Linked DNA regions of Bombyx mori. The protein of the gene in region 2 purifies or fractionates together with the protein of the main gene of each other region. This does not show direct contact. Links are inferred from orthologs where the notes say so. Each region holds a gene or a part of one and is shown on either strand. Other genes may lie near its edges.

Region 1 (3,832 bases), on a different chromosome or scaffold from region 2:
CTTTAGGAAATTAAAGCATTTATCTTAGCACATTATTATTTTATAAAAAGTTATAATGGCAGAAACATTAAACTCGTTCAAGGAAAGCCACGACGAGGGGTAAATAAACTTCGAACCATGTAAATCAGCAAAGGTTCGCAATGTGCTTAATATTCGAGCTGGTGACTGGATAGGGAATCTAAAGTGCTTTGTGACTTTTGTGTGAGCGTGTTTTGGGCCCTAAGAAGATGACGTTTCAGTTTTTCGACATAATTGTTGCAAAAAAGCAAACGCTCACTCCGAACTATTGCGGTATCCTGGGGTTACGAGTTGGTATTGCTGCTCAAACGAACTTCAGATAATCGACGACCAACGATGCGTTCCTTGGGGCTAGATTAGTGGAGAGTTCCGCTTTGTGCTAATCACATCACCTTTCCAGCTCCTGTACCTATATGTTGATTTCTTTCTTATATCAGGGTTGAACGTGAATTGTTGAGAGATGTCAATTCAACTGCGACACAACCGTTTACTGCCCTTTAACCGGTAGGCGGAAGCCCAACGAACGCCCCCTGACTCAAACAAAGTGCATTTAATAAAATAATAATAATAAACAATCCCGGTAGGAACAATCCCTCGCAATATATTGAGACAGGGAGATTATTTATCAAATAAAAAAAACTATTCACATCAATATTAAGCTACAGACAACAATGATTCGCGTTTTCATCTATTCCGATCCGACTAACCTCTGGGTATACAGAGGCTTTACTTACCGCTGTTGCTTAGAGGAATTCATCTTCCCCTCTTAGAAAATTGAATTTTAATAATAACGCGCTCCATCAGCCTGTTTTCAGCGGAATACATTTGACCCCAAAAACATACAATTGTAAATTCGATGTAAGCCTTACCTAATGTTAATATTATAAGATTCGTTCTCTAGCTTAGATCTCTAGCTTAGCTTAGCTTAATCGAAGCTAACGAAGAAGTTAAATTAATGTAATTACTCATCTTTACAGTCACATAACAAAAACGACGACATGGGATGATCCGCGGAAAACTCTCGCAGCGCAGAACGTGGCCAACACTGTCCAGCATCAAGCCGCCGAAGCCCTGCTCAATCAGAACGCACAACAAACCATTACCAACACAGCCACACCTGGTAAGAATATAGCGATCTTTGTAAACAAAATTTACCTTTTATTAACCTGAAACTGTTCTTATACTACCTACTCAATTCTTTAAGCGACTTATACTGGTGGTAGAACCTCTTGTAAGTCCGCACAGGTAGGTACCACCACCCTGCCTATTTCTGCCGTGAAGCAGTAAAGCGTTGCGGTTTGAAGGGTGGGGCAGCCGTTGTAACTGTACTTGAGACCTTAGAACTTATATCTCAAGGTGGGTGGCGCATTTACATTGCAGATGTCTATGGGCTCCAGTAACCACTTAACAACGAGTGGGCTGTAAGCTCGTCCACCCAGCTAAGCGATAAAAAAAGCAATTCTTTGTGACGTATATAGTAGGTTCCTTTATAAACTTTTGACAGTGCTTTTTAGATAACGAAGATTTAAATAGAATAGAAATAGATATTTTGTCAAAAACCAATTCACTACGTACCTTGAACTTTTATTACGCTTCAGTCACAAATGGTTATTTTATGTACCCTATTGATAATGTGATATACATAATTAAGATCGAATTAACGAAATTAGGGCCACCGTGACGATTGCAATTCTTAATATTTTATAAACACGATTTTTTTATTTACAATAATCAGCATTAAAAATACATAATATTTAAAATTTCTTAATAAAAATTATAAAAATAGATCTGTGTTTACGTCAATTAAATGTTTTGGTTTTCGCTCTTCGTTCTATGACTTATGAAGTTTTAGGGTTTTCCAATGTATAATTTAATTACCAACTTTCCTTATTGTAGTTAATTCATTGAGGATACTGAATTAAAATAATATTGATCCGTTAATAAAGTGAGATGTATGAAGAGTTATTTAAAGTCTGCGTGGGTGGGCCTTAGACCATTGGAATTGATTGACTAGAATTATTTCATTGCGTTAAAAGTAATTGATTAAGAAACAGTAATTTGAACACTGTACAGTAACTATTTTATTTTTTTTTTTTTTTTTTTTTTTTTTTTTTTTATTTATTTAAGGTCGCTTTTTAACAACTAGGGTCATTAACGACCACAGTTTACAGTATCATTTTAAGTTACATTGACTTCAACATCATACTAAATTATACAAACCAATGATCTTTAAAAAACTAAGGGTCTGTTTATACCCATCTTGAGTCAGACAGTCTGTTAAATTATCAGGGAGCTTACAAAATTGTCTTTCTATGTCATATGCTTTACATTCAACTAACAAGTGTACCACAGTTTGATCCAAACCACACTTACATTTGTTTTTATCTGTTTTGGTAATAAGATGTATATGAGTTAAATTTGTGTGTCCAATCCGCAATCTTGTAAGAACCACTTGGTCTTTTCTTTTAGTTAAGGAAAAGGAAAGCTTATCAAAAATTGAATTTCTAATTTTAAATAAAAATGATGGGTTCTCAAATTTCCACTGATTATCCCAAAGAGTTTTAATTTTGAACTTGAGATGTTTTTGAACATCTGATGCAGTGGAAATGATTAGCTGTACCTCTTCAAAATCACTTGTTGCATTTTTAGCTTCCTGGTCAGCCTTTTCATTACCGGCTATTCCTTGGTGACTTGGAATCCATATAATTTCAAATTTGTAACTTTCTTTTAATAGATCTACCATTTTTTTTTTAATTTCTAAAATAAGATTATTTAAGTTGTTTGGGTTTTTTAACGCTGTCAAACATGATTTCGAATTAGTGTATATTATGTATTTGTCTGTATTAGGTTGACTGTGTATTAATTCTAAGGCCTTAAGGATAGCTATTCCCTCACAACTGAAAATAGAATTAAAATTTACTAGTCTATACCTGTAGTAATTATCAGCAGATACTACTGAACAACCTGAATGTCCATCTTTTACAGAACCATCTGTGTAATAAATTTTGTAACCTCTATATCTATCATTAATTTCACAAAATAAGTTTTTATATATACACTGAGGGGTATCACCTTTTTTATAGTTGGCTAATTCAAGGTTAACTGGCAATTCTAAGTTTTCCCATGGACCAGAAGTAAGTAGTTTTTTTGTAAATAATTTTGGAATTTTAAGATTTAATTCATCTAAGTATTTGACTGCTCTGATTCGTAAGGGTTGAGATAAATTAGGTTGGAGTTCATATTCAGTGTCAACTGCTGTTACTTTAGTGTAATAATGGTAGGTGGGATTTTCAGGTTGAGTTAATATATTTGTTATATATGTAAGCATAAGTTGTTTCCTTCTAAATTCTAATGGCATTTCACCAGCTTCAACTAGGATACATTTAATGGGGCTTGTTCTAAAACCACCAATACTTAGACGAAGAGCAGTATTCTGGATACTTTCTAAGGAATTTAGTGTTCGTTTTTTGGCGGAATCATAAATAATGCAGCCATAATCTATCTTCTGCCTGATCAGAGTACGATATATATTAATTAAGCAACTTTTTTCTGACCCCCATCCAGTGGACGATAAAGACTTTATTATATTTAGTCTTTTATAACATTCTGATTTAAGGTTATTTATGTGTGTATTCCATGACAGTTTTTTATCAAATATCAAACCTAAAATTTTTAAATTGCTTACTTCTTTAATACTATGATTATTTAAGGTTAATTGTGTGTTTCTAAATACTTTTCTTTTATTTGTAAATATCATAAATTCCGTTTTTGTTTTAGAAAATTTAAATCCAACTCTTTCTGACCATTCCTGTAA
Region 2 (4,434 bases):
TGAACGAGCTCACAGCCCAACTGGTGTTAAATGGTTACCGGAGCCCGTAGACATCTACAACGAAAACACCGCCACCCCAATTTAGATATGAGTTCTAAGGTCGCGGTATAGTGCAATGACTAGCCCACCCTTCAAGCCGAAACGCATTACTGCTTCACGGCAGAAATAGGCACTTGGTGGAATGGTGGTACTTACCCGTGCGGATTTACAAGACGTCCTACCACCAGTAAGACGTTAATATTTGATACAGAATGCATTAGGGCGAAGATTAAACATTTGAGAGTTATGTACCTACGCCGCGATGTAAGTCGGGTTTGAGCAAAAGACACATCTAGTTCAAATCGGTCACTGAATGAAACCCATGATGGGAACTGCCGGTTTTAACTCATCAGAGTTGAGACTTAAATCTCATGTCTCACAAGGTGGATGTTGCGATGTTATTAGCAATGTCAATGGGCTTTGGTAAGTACTTAACACCAAATGAACTGTGATCTACCTTTTTTTTTATTGCTTTTGTAGGACGACGAGCATACAGCCCACCTGATGGTAAGTGGTCACCGTCGCTCAAGGACGTCAGCAATGCCAGGGGCAGAGCCAAGCCGCTGCCTACCATTAAGTACTCTCCGCAAGCCTCGTTTGAATAAGGACATGTCATAGCGCTCGGAAAACACCGTGGAGGGGAGTTCACTCCAAAGTCGGATGGTACGTGGCAAAAAAGATCTTTGGAAACGCATTGTCGATGAACGCAGCGGCTCCAGATAATATGGATGAATCCTGCTCCGATGGCGGTAGAAGTACCTTAGCAGTAAAGAAATTTTCGTGGCATTTCCATGCAGTAAGCCTGAGCGTTGCTCCGATTGAATATAAAAAAGACGTAAAGACGATCATCTCAAACAAATTTGAATTTAAAAACATCGTTCCATAAGATAAAAATTAAAATAACAATAAACATGACTGAACGAAATCGAATAGCTAGCAACGAAAATAATCTGAATGTTTTGAAGTCGTCGTGGCCTAAAGGATAAGACGTCCGGTGCATTCGTATGTAGCGATGCACCGGTGTTCGAATCCCGTAGGCAGATACCAATTTTTCTAATGAAATACGTACGTAATAAATGTTCACGATTGACATCCGCGGTGAGGGAATAACATCGTGTAATAAAAATCAAACCCGCAAAATTATCATTTGGGTAATTAGGTACTGGTGGTAGGCGGTCTTGTGAGTCCGCACGGGTAGGTACCACCGCACTGCCTATTTCTGCCGTGAAGCAGTAATGCGTTTCGCTTTGAAGGGTCGAGCAGTCGTTGTAATTACTGAGGCCTTAAAACTCATATCTCAAGGTGGGTGGCGGCATTTACGTTGTAGATGTCTATGGGCTCCAGTAACCACTTAACACCAGGTGGGCCGTGAGCTCGTCCACCCATCTAAGCAATAAAATATCTATTTAAATCGACATTCATATGTAAAAGATTGACTGTTCTAATTATCGGTTGTTTTCTGGCACCCCATGAACTTCGGTTCTATCTGTGTTTTCTACAGTAAGTTACATTCTATGTAGGAATTCAGGGAAATCATTTTAAAAGACCATCCTGCTTAACACCACCCCCGACGAAGCGAAGCGCTGCGTTCATCTGAATTTACGAGACTGAACAAAAAAATCCTTAGAAAATATAAATTAAAATTTGTCGTAACAATTGAATATACAATTTTATTTGTTGTGGGAACAAGTCTTGTTTTTTTTTATTAAAAATTTCCAATGTACTTCAGTAGATATTAACACTGAATGTTTAAAAAAGCATTAATCTTTACAGCTATTTGAAAATTTTAATCTGTCAAGAATTTTCTTGAATAAAAAGTCGGCTCGACGCGTTAATTCATGGACATCAATTAAAAGAATACTAAATATATTAATACAAGTGATGTATGTACCTATATATGTGTATATAAGAAAACTATATAAATGTTATTATTGAAATAGTGATTATGTACAATTCCCAATCTATGCCTTTAAAAAATTGTTATAATGTACTTAATTAAGAATATTAAATGAAATCCAAGAATCAGATTAAATGAGTCAAGAAAGAGGACAAGAAAGACCCAAATCCAATACGAATATTGCCTGGTTCTTGTTTTGCTCGTATCTACTCTTTTAATCTTTCCTCTGTGGTACATGTTTTAATTTTAAACGTCTGACTTTTAAAGAAAACTCTAAAGAAAATATCCACTAGGTGTTCGCAGCGTTTGAAATTCGACATTAATCACTGACGCCGCAAGACTTAAATTCATTTTACGTATTAAATTTTGGTTTTGTGAGCTACATTTTTTCTTGTAGAAAATAATAGTTTTCAAATTTTGATATATTAATAATTGAAATTTTTAAGGTTTCAATAATTCACTATGTAAATAAATACCTTAATAAAGTGTAATATTGTTTTCGTTTTTTTTTTGTACTAAATTCCAGCCCTTCCTTTATTTACTTAAATTACTTATAAAATCTAATTTTACATAAATATTAAATACATTAAATTAAAATTTATCGTGTCTTATTTTTTATGACACCTGCATTTGTAATAAAAACTACTGATATGTTGTTATTAACTCCGACCACAGTCTTAATATATTGAATCAAGAAAAAATATAGGAAAAAGGAAAATTTATGAACTAGAATTATTCAAAGGCTGTTTCGTTAAGTTATTCAAAAATTAAAATACCCAATATACATTTAATATCGTCATCATGTTAATGAAAGAGATTTAATTCCCGAATTAAATGCTAATGGCTTCGCCCTTTTTAATTTACATAATCCTGAAAACGTCAAGAGTATTTTGTTAGACAAAAACTATGGCATCGGCGACAAAAGCATTCGTTACAGCTAACTTATACAAAATAATTTTCATATATAGATAATTTTTACTTTACCTCTGTGGACATTCGATGATCCGTAAAACTCCTTTTGAAATAACCGCTAATAATACGAACGGAATGTGTAATACGGTTTACATTTATTAATTCAACATTACATTATATCTGGCTACGTGTTACAGTGGGACACGTGCAAACGCGACGACCGCGGCGCTGTACTGGGTGATGCCAAATTTGACATGCGCTGAGGGAAATCGATGGCGAAAAATTCAACGCATAACGCCAAGGAACATAACTATAATTTTATGGTATTTTCTTTTTTGACGTTCCAATGTCAGTTTTTATGGACATTATATTATACGGTCAACGGTTTTTTGTGTTGGTTTCGTTGGGCAGAAATATTATTAGGGGTTTGATAACATAGCGTAGGGAGTACCCCTCTAGTGACGATATCTTGTTTTATTACTGCACTATAATTATAAGTAATTAGAACAGTGGATCGTGTTTTTTTAATTGCTTAGATGGGTGGACGAGCTCACGGTCCACCTGGTTTTAAGTGGTTACTGGAGCTCATCTTCTTCTGAGTCGGTCTCTTCATTGCTGAAGGTCGTGTCTAGTCTGAAGTGTGGACCACTCGATGCACAATGCTTCCCCACGTCTTCCTGTCCTCGGCGGTCTTGATAGCCTCGGTTATTCGCAGGCAGGTGAGTGTTTTAACCAGATCAGACCAGCGGGTAGGTGAGCGTCTGCGTGATCTTCTCCCGTCAACCTGACCAACTACCATCAGCTTCTCCAAGTTATCGGGGCCTCTACGAGCGATGTGGCCGAAGTACGCGAGAATACGTTGGAAGTAGATAGCGGACAGCCTTGTGGAAATACCGAGCTCCTTAAGAATGGACAGGTTGGTCCGGCGTGCTGTCCATGGAATTTGCAACATCCGTCTCCAACACCACATTTCAAAAGCGTCGATCTTTACCCTCTCACTTCGTCTTATCGTCCAGATAGGAGCTCATAGACATCTATAACGTAAATGCGTCACCCACATTGAGATATAAGTTCTAAGGTCTCAAGTATAGTTACGACGGCTGCCCCGCCATTCAAACCGAATCGCATTACTGCTTCACGGCAGAAATAAGCAAGTTGGTGGTCCCTACCTGTGCGGACTCACAAGAGATCCTTACCAACAGTAAAATTCTCTAGATTTTTTTGTGTTCGGATTTTTTATGTTATAAGTTATTTAGCATCGTTGTTATTTGAAACTGGATCGAAATTTAGAAGCGAATTTAAAAAAAGATGAACTTGTTTATATTATAACATACATAGAATTTAGTCTCCGAGGAAATTAAATAGAATACTTTTGAAGATTTTCCTTCTATTACATTTATAAATTACATACTTTTTGTCTCGATCATAGAATTTCCTTCACTAGACTACAGTTTCTAGCATTAATTACATGGAGAAATCTTAGCAAGGAAATTTCTTAAACATAAATAGTAACCAATTACAAGTAATACATAAAAAGTTAAAACTGCAAATATTCGACTTCACTTTTTGAAGTTATACTTCTTTAG

Evidence for each region.
Region 1: the proteins of uncharacterized protein LOC101740701 (region 2) and YAP65-like protein purify together in Homo sapiens (affinity purification with mass spectrometry; 6 studies listed by BioGRID and IntAct, with this or other methods). This does not show direct contact. The link is inferred for Bombyx mori from reciprocal best matches to the Homo sapiens genes MPDZ and YAP1.

The regions. Positions count from the first base shown.
Region 1 is NC_085111.1:12,002,365-12,006,196, reverse strand, and holds part of YAP65-like protein, read left to right. Parts: intron 1-995; coding exon 996-1,138; intron 1,139-3,832. UniProt on the Homo sapiens protein: Transcriptional regulator with dual roles as a coactivator and corepressor. Critical downstream regulatory target in the Hippo signaling pathway, crucial for organ size control and tumor suppression by restricting proliferation and promoting apoptosis.
Region 2 is NC_085134.1:2,048,404-2,052,837, reverse strand, and holds the start of uncharacterized protein LOC101740701, read right to left. Parts: upstream 3,086-4,434; 5' UTR 2,921-3,085; intron 1-2,920. UniProt on the Homo sapiens protein: Member of the NMDAR signaling complex that may play a role in control of AMPAR potentiation and synaptic plasticity in excitatory synapses. Promotes clustering of HT2RC at the cell surface.